Bombyx mori: one gene and its partners. The protein of the gene in region 1 interacts with the protein of each later gene in a pairwise test. Links are inferred from orthologs where the notes say so. Each region holds a gene or a part of one and is shown on either strand. Other genes may lie near its edges. The genes, in order: ubiquitin-protein ligase E3A, tyrosine aminotransferase and DNA replication licensing factor Mcm6.

Evidence for each region.
Region 2: the proteins of ubiquitin-protein ligase E3A (region 1) and tyrosine aminotransferase interact in binary tests that used the Homo sapiens proteins (3 or more experiments, as listed by UniProt). The link is inferred for Bombyx mori from reciprocal best matches to the Homo sapiens genes UBE3A and TAT.
Region 3: the proteins of ubiquitin-protein ligase E3A (region 1) and DNA replication licensing factor Mcm6 interact in binary tests that used the Homo sapiens proteins (3 or more experiments, as listed by UniProt). The link is inferred for Bombyx mori from reciprocal best matches to the Homo sapiens genes UBE3A and MCM6.

The regions. Positions count from the first base shown.
Region 1 is NC_085119.1:5,211,809-5,214,229, reverse strand, and holds the end of ubiquitin-protein ligase E3A, read left to right. Parts: intron 1-1,410; coding exon 1,411-1,749; 3' UTR 1,750-1,888; downstream 1,889-2,421. UniProt on the Homo sapiens protein: E3 ubiquitin-protein ligase which accepts ubiquitin from an E2 ubiquitin-conjugating enzyme in the form of a thioester and transfers it to its substrates.
Region 2 is NC_085110.1:12,108,971-12,113,253, forward strand, and holds the start of tyrosine aminotransferase, read left to right. Parts: upstream 1-1,480; 5' UTR 1,481-2,773; intron 2,774-4,283. Other genes in the region: NADH dehydrogenase (ubiquinone) complex I, assembly factor 6, read right to left, coding at 874-1,111, 1,200-1,333. UniProt on the Homo sapiens protein: Transaminase involved in tyrosine breakdown. Converts tyrosine to p-hydroxyphenylpyruvate. Can catalyze the reverse reaction, using glutamic acid, with 2-oxoglutarate as cosubstrate (in vitro).
Region 3 is NC_085132.1:5,464,586-5,468,966, forward strand, and holds the start of DNA replication licensing factor Mcm6, read right to left. Parts: upstream 2,942-4,381; 5' UTR 2,800-2,941; intron 1,801-2,799; exon of another isoform or gene 1,567-1,800; intron 1,463-1,566; 5' UTR 1,453-1,462; coding exon 1,361-1,452; intron 1,188-1,360; coding exon 764-1,187; intron 642-763; coding exon 450-641; intron 321-449; coding exon 148-320; intron 1-147. Other genes in the region: uncharacterized protein LOC101741249, read left to right, coding at 3,876-3,973, 4,055-4,166. UniProt on the Homo sapiens protein: Acts as a component of the MCM2-7 complex (MCM complex) which is the replicative helicase essential for 'once per cell cycle' DNA replication initiation and elongation in eukaryotic cells.

The DNA of each region.
Region 1 (2,421 bases):
TCATTACAATATAAGTAAAGAAATAAATAAAAATAATAAATAATTAGTTAATAACAATAGTTATTTAGTATTTTTAAGTATTTTTCTATATAAAATTTTATCCCTAAAAATATCCCCAAAAAATTTCACCCCCTAAAAAAATCCCTGTATAGATTTTTCCCCCCTAAATTTGGGGGGAAAACCCCGGAGTTGGCATCACTGATTCGATGTTTCTGTTTCATTTTAAAACTTCATTTTATTGTACTTGAATTCTGTGCTAAAAGCTTTTTAAACATCATTAGCCCCACCTCTTGTCCGTTGACGGTACTAAATATACTACAAATTAATAGTCAACAGCTTTTGTTGCAAGTTTAAATTCATTGATAAACGAACACTCTTAGCACATATTAGATCTTACTTGTGGTATGTCGTATTATAGTCTCGCATCAGTAGGCTCAGTTCAAAGCCGCGAACCAGCGATTCGTATCTTTTGAAGGGTGAAACAGCTGTTATATTTACTTATTTAATTTAGAACACGATAGGTCTCAAAGTAAGCGACGGTGTTCACATTGTCACGATGTCTATGGACTCCGGTAGCCACTTAGCGCTCGTAGTTCGTTATACTCTGGGTGCTAGGAGACTGCTTCCGAAAACGAAGACAGACGATAGTACTATTGACACCTTTGGTAATGGGACGAAAATAAAATAGATCATGATTTAAAAAAATCATATTTTTTTGCAATTGCAATGTTTGAAGTGAAACTTTAGAAGAATCGTTGTGATTTCAAACTCAATGAAACGAAAAAATAAGTCCATAGAGACACAAACACATAAATGTATAGGATTCAGCCGGCGAGAGAATGAGATAGAACACATTAGACGTTCTCGGTCTCCTCTTTGTGCGATTCTTCGTAACATCCCCATTATCGTCTACTAAACATTGTCCATATGTATGCACCTGTGTAGTGGGATAGTCACAGTGTGACTTGCACACACTTTTTTATTGTGAACGCCGCCTCTACTTCTTTTATGGCGCCTGCAAATTTTATACGTACAAAGTTGTAAATTTTGCGTCGCGCCGGTGTGCGTGTTAAAGAAACGCCGCGCTCGAGCGTTCGTTGATCCGAGCATCAGCTGTTTTTAATTTTGTGTTTCACTGCTGGTTTTCTTTTCAAATAAAGTAATGTATTTTTTATGAAACTATCGTTTCATTTAGCTGTATTAACATAATGGAGGGTAAATAATGCTGATAAAACGTTTTAAAAATATGTTTTTTTTAAAAATCAGGTTCGACTTTTTTTCTGTCTCATCATCTATGTTAGGTGTCATTAGTACTATCGTTACCTCGATCGATACCTCGTTTTCGGAAGCGGTCTCTTAACACCCAGTGCATATAGCAATACAATAAAAATACCGTATTATATTTTGAAGGTTTTCGATTTCCACGAGCTGGAAAAGTCGACAGAATACGATGGCGGCTACGCGTCCGACTCTAAAATCGTACAGGACTTTTGGGGCATCGTGCACAGCTTGCCGCTGGAGGACAAGCGGAAGCTGCTTCAGTTCACGACCGGGTCGGACCGGGTGCCCGTGGGCGGGCTGTGCAACTTGAACTTTGTGATCGCGAGGAACGGCCCGGACTGCGACCGGCTTCCCACCGCGCACACTTGCTTCAATGTCCTACTGCTACCCGAGTACGACACTAGAGACAAACTACAGGACAGACTCTTGAAAGCCATCAACTACTCGAAGGGATTCGGTTTGCATTGAAGCTATGCTATACGACGACGACGACGCAACGCAACGCGGAACTAACTCAACAAAATTAGCATAATATTATAGTCGAGGAGTCGCCACGATGATGTTTCTGTATCATTGATGATTAAAGTTTGTTTTATTTAAGCGTAAAGTTTTTTTTTAATTACTCTATTTATTATGTCTGGCTGGGCAGCGTTCGGGAAGCTTCGTCAGGTCTTTTCGTCGCCCAAACCACAATGTCTGAAGACAAAGGTCTACAATCAGTGCGTCCTACCCGTGCTTACCTACGGAGCCGAAACGTGGACACTGACTGTGCGACTAGTCCACCAACTAAAAGTTACTCAGCGAGCCCATAGCTCGCGAGCTATGCTTGGTTTATCATTGCGAGACCGAATACGCAATGAGGTCATTCGGGCAAAAACCAAAGTGATCGATATAGCTTGCAGAGTTAGTAAGCTGAAGTGGCAGTGGGCTGGTCACATATGTCGCAGTACCGATAACCGTTGGGGTAGACGTGTTCTGGAGTGGAGACCGCTAACCGGTAAACGTAGTGTAGGACGCCCTCCTGCTAGACGGAGCGACGACCTACGCAAGGCAGCTGGCAGTAACTGGATGCGTAGAACCGAAGATCGGGTTCAGTGGCGAGCTTTGTACTGCCGCAGGTTAATGATGATGATGATGATA
Region 2 (4,283 bases), on another chromosome or scaffold:
TAATTGTCAATGAATTCAGTAAGTTGACAACTCAAACCTATAAACACCTAAGGTGAAAAGACATTCTGCCACATAAGCAGATATGATCTGCTTGAATTAATTATGAACTAACAGAAAAACAAATAAAATGTGATATTTTATATTTTGGTATTAGAAAATCTAAATTTTAGTGTGTATGTTTACAATAATAAAACACTAATCAGAAATGGATGAAGTAAAAGAAAAACCAAAATAAGAAACAGAAAAAGTCCATCCCAATGGCATGGGGGCAATGGATATAAACCAATCAAGGTTGTGGTCAGGGTCATCAAACTTATTTGAAATCCCTATTCCACATGATACAAGGACAAAAACTAAGTTGCTGTACAATCCCAACATCGTTTTTTTGCATTAAAAGTGTACAATTTACAAAAATATTCGAAATTGAGTTAATATGAGGAATCATTTGCTATCACCAGTATTTTTTTAATAAATACTGTCAAAACAGCGTAGTTTAGTTTTAGCCTTTTTTTTTTTAGTTTACCTATGTTTTGACTACTAACAAAATTAATACATAATTTTATCTTACTTTAAAATACAGATAATGTAACTGGTAAAAAATAAAAAATAAATGTTGCAAAGATGATCAATATGAAAAATATCACATGTTAAACCTTTACAACACTCTCCTGTAAAATTAGTAAGTTTTGAGATTATAGTTTTTATGCGAGAAGATGATATTATGGTATAAGGGCAAGAAGGTGATGAATTAAATATATGATGAAGAGTTATATATGTACAATAATATAATACTATTAATGAGACACAAATTGTCACAAATTATAGCACATCTTATAGCTATAGCTATGTTTTATGTAGTATAGTTTAGGTTACCTTAAACAGCTCTTGTGCTATGGGGTTTGCTGGAATATTTTTTAAAGTTTGATCATTTTTATAGAGTAGTTTAAGTGTATCATTCCAGAACTGCAATCTGAAAGCTGCTGTCTGAGAATCGGTGGTTTGATCTTGTATACGAGCTACTTCTACATTGAAGGCTCTGACTACAAGCGTCGGAGATCTTACAGCCTTTGTCAGGAGCAGTGTGGCCAAAAAATTTTCATAATCGTGCTGCCTATCTGTAACATAAATATACAAGTACCAGAACTTGCTTCACAATTCAAATTTTATTTTTATTTTCGTCTGTATAAATATTATTTTACCTTACTAAATTTGCACAGTAATTTAGTGAGTCCTGGTTAGACTCTGCTATTTTTGAGAGAAATCTAGTAGTAAATGCTGGCATTTTAAGTATTTTGTATGTCTTAAAATTAATTATATTACTACCCAAACCCATTTTGGTTTGAATTATTGACACCAGAAACCAAAGAGTATGTCCAGACCTTCATTGGTCCAGACACTACCATCCACCATAGACATACATAGCATATTAAGTGTAATGTGTATAATCTATGTACATACTACATCATAGCTTCCCGTCAAAGGACTTTTTGGCGGAAACGCGAGGAGTGAAGTTGTGTGATTTGTTTTATTTTGTCTATTTAGTGTTTCTTCAGGTTTAAATGTGTAATAATGGTGGTTTATTAACTGTTTAATATCTATGAAAGTGCACAAATGTGGGAAAATGAAACAAAGCTGCTGGACGTAACTTCTCGGGTTCCTCCAAAAAGTCCACTGAAAAAATCTCAGTAAATGATCACCATTTTACTGAGATTATATTTCATCCCATTTCATTTCATTTAATTTCATCCCAGTTGATTAATGTCTCAAATTAATCATCTTCATTTCATTTCACTCCATATTATCATTTTTCATAAAAATATGAATATAAATTAAAATAAGACATGACTTAAAGGTCTCAGTTACCAGGTCATAAAACCACTTAAAAAAAAAGCTTCCCGTCAAATACTAAGTGTATTATCTATGGCTTCGCGAGATAGCATAGACCATGGAGTTAATGGACTTTTTGGCGGGAACGCGAGAAGTGAAGTTGTGTGATTTGTATTATTTTGTCTATTTAGTGTTTCTTCAAGTTTAAATGCTGTAATAACGATGGTTTATGAACTGTTTAATATCTGTAAAAGTGCACAAATTTGGGAAAATGAAACGCAGCCGCTGCACGTAACTTCTTGGGATCCTCCAAAAAGTCCACTGAAAAAATCTCAGTAAATGACCACAATTTTACTAAGATTAAATTTCATCCCATATCATCTCATCTCATTCAATTTAATTTCATTCCAGTTGATTAATGTCTCAAATGAATCATCTTCATTTCATTTCATTTCATTTCACTCCTTAATATAATTTTTCACAAAATAAGAATTTTAATAATAATAAGACATGACTTAAAGATCTTAGTTACCAGGACATAAAATCCCTTAAAAAAACCATGGGGTTAATAAGTAAAACTAAAAAAAAAATACACTAACTTAGCAACACTGCTTTTTGTTTGTAATATGTGCGTTTTTCCTTACATCTATTGATGTTTAAAAATAAATTTTAAATTACAGACGTCGTTTGGTGGGTAGAGCCCTAAAACATCCTTGGACCCGCCGCAGTCTGTTCACAACATCTGCAGGCCGTCAAGTCCAACATACCGATTCTAAACAGTTAGAAAGCCGCCCTTATTTATACATTGAAACCTGAAAAAACACTAAAGTAACAAAACAAATCAATTTAAACAACTTCACTCCTCGCGTTCCCGCCAAAAAGACTGATTAGAGGTGATCGGTTCATCGTTACTATGCTTAGCAAACGGACATTAGCTTCTTCTGAGGTAAGAAGAGGAAGAAAGAAGCTTAAATAAAAACTGGAAGAAGGCTGAATCGGCCCGAATAAATCCGCACTTGTTTGCCAGAGATCTCTTTCTTGCCACATGCCACAGAATATCAAAATGGCTGAACACGATGGTGTTACGTCTCAAAAAAACTATTTTCTTACCTAATCTCTTACTACTCTTATCCCATTCTCACGGATCGTTTGGAACCTTTGGGTCTGCGGAGGGACTTCGGTTCCCTCTGTATTTTGTACCGTATGTTCTATGGGGAGTGCTCTGAGGAATTGTTCGAGATGATACCGGCATCTCGTTTTTACCATCGCACCGCCCGCCACCGGAGTAGAGTTCATCCATACTAGCTGGAGCCACTGCGGTCATCCACCGTGCGTTTCCAGAGATCTTTTTTGCCACGTACCATCCGGCTATGGAATGAGCTCCCCTCCACGGTGTTTCCGGAGCGCTATGACATGTCCTTCTTCAAACGAGGCTTGTGGAGAGTATTAAGCGGTAGGCAGCGGCTTGGCTCTGCCCCTGGCATTGCTGAAGTCCATGGGCGACGGTAACTACTCACCATCAGGTGGGCTGTATGCTCGTCTGCCTACAAGGGCAATAAAAAAAAAACCTATGCCTAATAAGAAAATTATTAAATCACTCGATGAAGCTGCGGGCAGAAAGCTAATACATGTTAAAGCAAGAATGTTGTGAATTAAGAATGTTGTACACGTCGAACTCATATGGTGTGATATACCTAAAGAACGTACATAAATTTATTTATATCTGCCGTGAAGCAGTAATGCGTTTCGGTTTGGATGGCGGGGCAGCCGTTGTACTGTTAAAAGCGAGACCTTAGAACTCATGTCTCAAGTTGGGTGGCGGCATTTACGTTGTAGATGTCTATGGTCTTCTGTAACCACTTAGCATGAGGTGGGCCGTGCGCTCATATACCAATCTAAGTAATAAATAAATAAATAACTATCTACTTAACGGTAGGCAGTGGCTTGGTTCTGCCCCAGGCATTGCTGAAGTCCATGGGCGACGATAATCACTCACCAACAGATGGGCCGTATGATCGTCTGCCTACAAGGACAATTTTTTTTTTATCGGGAATGTTTTGAAAAATTATAGGCATTGTCGTACTAACATAGAATACGCTAATTAATTTATCAGTGATTATTTTTTTAGAGACAGTAGAATTATTAGACAGACGTTTCAAGCGGTATTCGAAGTTTGTCTTTAGAAAATTTTAGCTTGAATATCTAATCCAAGATTTTAAAGTACAACACCTTTATCTGAAATTTAGGAGGCAGTGATTTTTTTGGAACCTCCAATGTAAATTACATATTCCACATGGAAAATTCCACATATAAATTGAAGGCCACCGCTGCACCGCTTCAACCCGTAAATTATGCTCGGTATTCCTTACAAGTCGTATTATTGTATTGTTTAAATGTATATAATATACTTGTTTGAGGTAAATTTGTATTATTTCTTAATGTAAAGATTCGATAAC
Region 3 (4,381 bases), on another chromosome or scaffold:
TACACTACTCACTGTAGAATTAGACAATAACATAGTCCTTGTACATACCTGTACATATTGAATATTTGCTCTGCTACCAGCAGCCTACCTATATTTGGCTTATTATAATAAAATCCCTCACATAAAAAGAAGCAAACAGATCCTCACTTATAATGCAGTTCTCGCACTCCAAGAGCCTTGAGTCCCTTTATGCCTTCCATTTGACCTTCATTTGCTAATTTAGTCCTGGTTGTAATCTCAGCCCTGGAGCCTGGCATTGACAAGGCTCCCACATCAGGCACTACAATCAGTGTTCCTGTAAAATCATAACGGTCACCAGCCTAAAAAACAAATTATACTTTTAGTTTCAATTTAGATTGATTAATCTTAGTTTGATATTTTTGGCTTTACAAATATCGAGAAATTGGGAAGTTCAGGTCTTGTCCATATCATGTTTCTTTTAAATTCACCTGCACAGATTCAACAGCTTCAGCCCTCAATATCACTTCAAGAGATCTGGGTATGCAACCACGGGGCAATTCAGCTTGGGTTTCCTGGATTCGTATCTTTTGGAAGTCAACAAAAACGCTCTTGTCTGCGTCCAGCATAAAACGCCTTCTATTAGCACATACAGGATTACGGCAGATTGTTGGAATTGTGTACTGAGGATAAAATAATATTTGTTAATTAATTTATTATTTATTTTAATTAATTCCATTTAATTTTATTAAGTTACTGTATTTCTCTAAAGAATTAATAAAATCAATTAATTAAAAAATCTTACCTTAAACTGTTGCTCTACATTTTTAATAACTGTTTGACAATCTAAGCACACAAATGTGCCCTGAACTAATTCAGGGTGAACTGGATGTGTCCTTACAATCTGCCCAGAGATCCTTATGAGAGTACCAATCTTTGCTGTGGTTAACTCCCTTACTTTGTGTCTTGTTGGTACATCAACAAATGAAACATAGCATTCTTTATCTTGTAGATCTTTTTTCATTCCAGTTTCCGCAAGACTGAGTATGTAATTCAAAATGGCTCTGTTTAGAAATGGATATATCCTATAATACTCTTCAATTATTGTGGTAGCAAGATTCTGGTTGTACTTTTCAACATCATCAAAACTAACTTCAAGGGTACTGAGCTCTGGTTTCAATAGTTCCTTAGCATGTTTCTCATATTTGATTTCGTTATCTTCCTTAAATCTGTAAATATTTTTTTTTGTTAATTATTTGCTGAAGCGGTTTTAAATTTATATCAAGAAGTCTGTTTGCCAACTAATGAAAATATGGAAGAAAAGCATTTATTCATAATATGGTAAATAAAAAAACAAATAACTTAGTATTATAACAAACTTGATTTTTAAAATCAAACATACTCTTCTAAGAAGTCTTGAAAAAGCTTTTGGCATCGAATTCCCACTTCATCTTTTACTTGACTCTGTGTGGCATATGTGTCAGCTACATCCATGGTTCACGACCTGAATAATATGTAACACCAGAGCTTAAGGGTGAGTTAATTTGCAAAGTTTGTTAAACGATTCTGCAATCTGCAACTTTAAAACAATGACAATAAACAAGTAACCGGTTACACGTGTTCTGTAATGATTCTCACTTAGATGGGCTAATCGTTTCTATGGACAGAGCTCAATTACTTCAATATTATTAGTTGATTTTGTTTAATAAAACTTTAAAAAGAAAATATTTTGAAAACGAGAACCGATAAAAATTCAAACATGTGTACAAGCGTACCAATTTGAACTATGACAGATTGAACGTCAGACTGACAAGAGGGTCCCGAGGGCGGGAAAACGTTGTAAAATTGTCCCTTCAAAAACAATAAAAATTTATCTATTCATAAAGAATAGGCAAAGACAAAGCAGTACTACACTACATTATTTTCTTCTCTTTGTCAGATATTATAAAGTATTTACATTGAAAAGAAAAACAGTGACTGCGGTGGAACAATAATAATACACTAAATATGAAGAAATGCTTACATAATTAAGTAAGTAGTTCAAGACAAGAATGTTCCAAATGCAATTTTAAATATCGGAAGAATTTTCCTTACGTCAAAATAAAGCTGGTACGGTACTCTCGATTATGTGCATAAGTTTCATTATTAAATAACATGACCATATGAAGTGTCTAAAATCTTTCGGACTAGCACAATTAGTTTTTATTGTTGGACGGTTAAATTTAAGGGGACTAGGTTCTGGAGGAGAGAGGCTATTTAAAAACACTCTGCTTCATGGTTAATTTAATTATATTGCAAATACTTTGTACACTATTACACCATTATAATATTTTATTTTGATACAACTCTAAGATGTTACTCTGTCCGTGTCTAGATGAGAAGTCATTGTCTTCACTGACGAGAAGACAAATTATTTGTTTTAAACATTTAAATAAGCATTCCAATATTTGAAATCTGTGACCTTACATGTGTCAAGTGTTGCCTACCATCGCTTACATACATGGAGATAATCTTATATATTCAAACTCCAACACTTATAGATACGCTTGGGGCACTGTTTGACTCCTTGGCATTTTTTTCAATAACTATACGATTAGTTTTTCGAGAGCTGTTCGTGCTCACCCTACTGTTCTGTAGATTTTATCAAAACTTGCCGATCCAGTTGGACAGGTAAAACCCCAAAACTCTTATTCAGTCGTAAAAACTAATAAGTAAGATATGTACATGCTTCAATAAAATATGAAATGCATGTTAAAAATTATAATGTAGCACTTGATCTGTCAGTGAAAACTGAAAGCGGAAAGAATTATTTAACGAATCCGTTAGAATTATGTAACGAACCTAAAGTTGTTTATTTTCCCTGTTTTCCAATTACAGCACTAGAGCGCATTATGCGGCATAATGCTCAACGTCGAATGTTCCTACTACAGCAACGCTTCGCACAATCGAGCACTCTCAAAAGTACTGCTCTCGCGTGATACTCGCAATCGATACCGACTCAGTGACAGAAAATTGACAAGTGTTTTTTCTTTAAGTTGGAATTGATCGAAATTTTGTTTATATTATCGTTAGTAATATTATTTATTGTTGAAAAATTTTGTAAGGCTTTCGTTTCGTCGTAGTTTCTTGGAAATAATCAAAGTTAATTGAAACTGTGCTAAAAAAAATATAAGTATGGATGATTCACTTAAAAAGTATATAATTTTCATAGAACTCATTTAAAAAAAATACTCAAAATGTAAAAAAATGTTAATGAAATAATAAAAATCCAAATTACTTAAAATAACCGTAAATAGTTTTCAACCAATTATTATTGTTTACTACATTATTTATATATTAATGAGGTTGCCAACTCCATGAATATTTTTTTTCAACATTGAACTTATCGCACTCTGCTGATGCATTTGAAAACTATTTTACGTTCCAATTAAGATTCAGCATAATTCAGCATTGTGTGCTATTGAGTCGCATTATGCGCTGTAATTGGAAAGCTACCTTTATGAATATTTGAAACATCTAGATTATAAAAGTTTGGCGGAAACGAGTGAGAGTGGTTATAACCATGGACAATACCCTCCAAAAAGTCCACTGAGAAATCTCAGTAAATGACCACCATTTTACTGCGATTATATTTCATTCCATATCATCTCATTTCATTTAATTTCATCCCAGTTGATTAATGTCTCAAATTAATCATCTTCATTTCATTTCACTCCATTTTATCATTTTTCATAGAAATAAGAATATAAATTAAAATAAGACATGACTTAAAGGTCTTTTTTACCAGGTCATAAAATCCATTAAAAAAAATCGCTCCACTGATTAGCGTTTGAGAAAGTTATGAAGTTTCATAATATGTAGTAATTAGTAAGACAACTTCCCAATAAAGTTGTTTTTAAGTGCACTAATCATTGAAAATGACAGAAACAAAAATAGCCTTTCTATATAAAATAGCGTCTTCCTTACCATCAAATATATCCAACAATCTTCAAAATGTGTTGAAAAGTTATTATTTGTATGTAACAAAAATGTTTGTCACATTTATATATTGTATCGAGTTATCTGGATATTAAAAAAAAAAAACTATCTATTTCAGAATGAAATGTAAAGAAGTAACTAAAGGTTATGGACTACCAGATAAACATTTCTCAACAGCTGCAAGATGCCCGCACTGCTGCCTAGAATGGAAAAAAGGAACTAATATCAAAGTAGATATTTCAATAATTTGCAGTACATTTAACAAAGTAGTTTTTTCCATGCCAATGACCACTATGACTACCTTTTTTGTCTTTGTGTTTGTTTGTAATTCCCAAAAATAGATATGAAGAAAAGACAAGAAAACATTTTTTTTTATTGCTTAGATGGGTGGACGAGCTCACAGCCCACCTGGTGTTAAGTGGATACTGGAGCCCGTAGACATCTA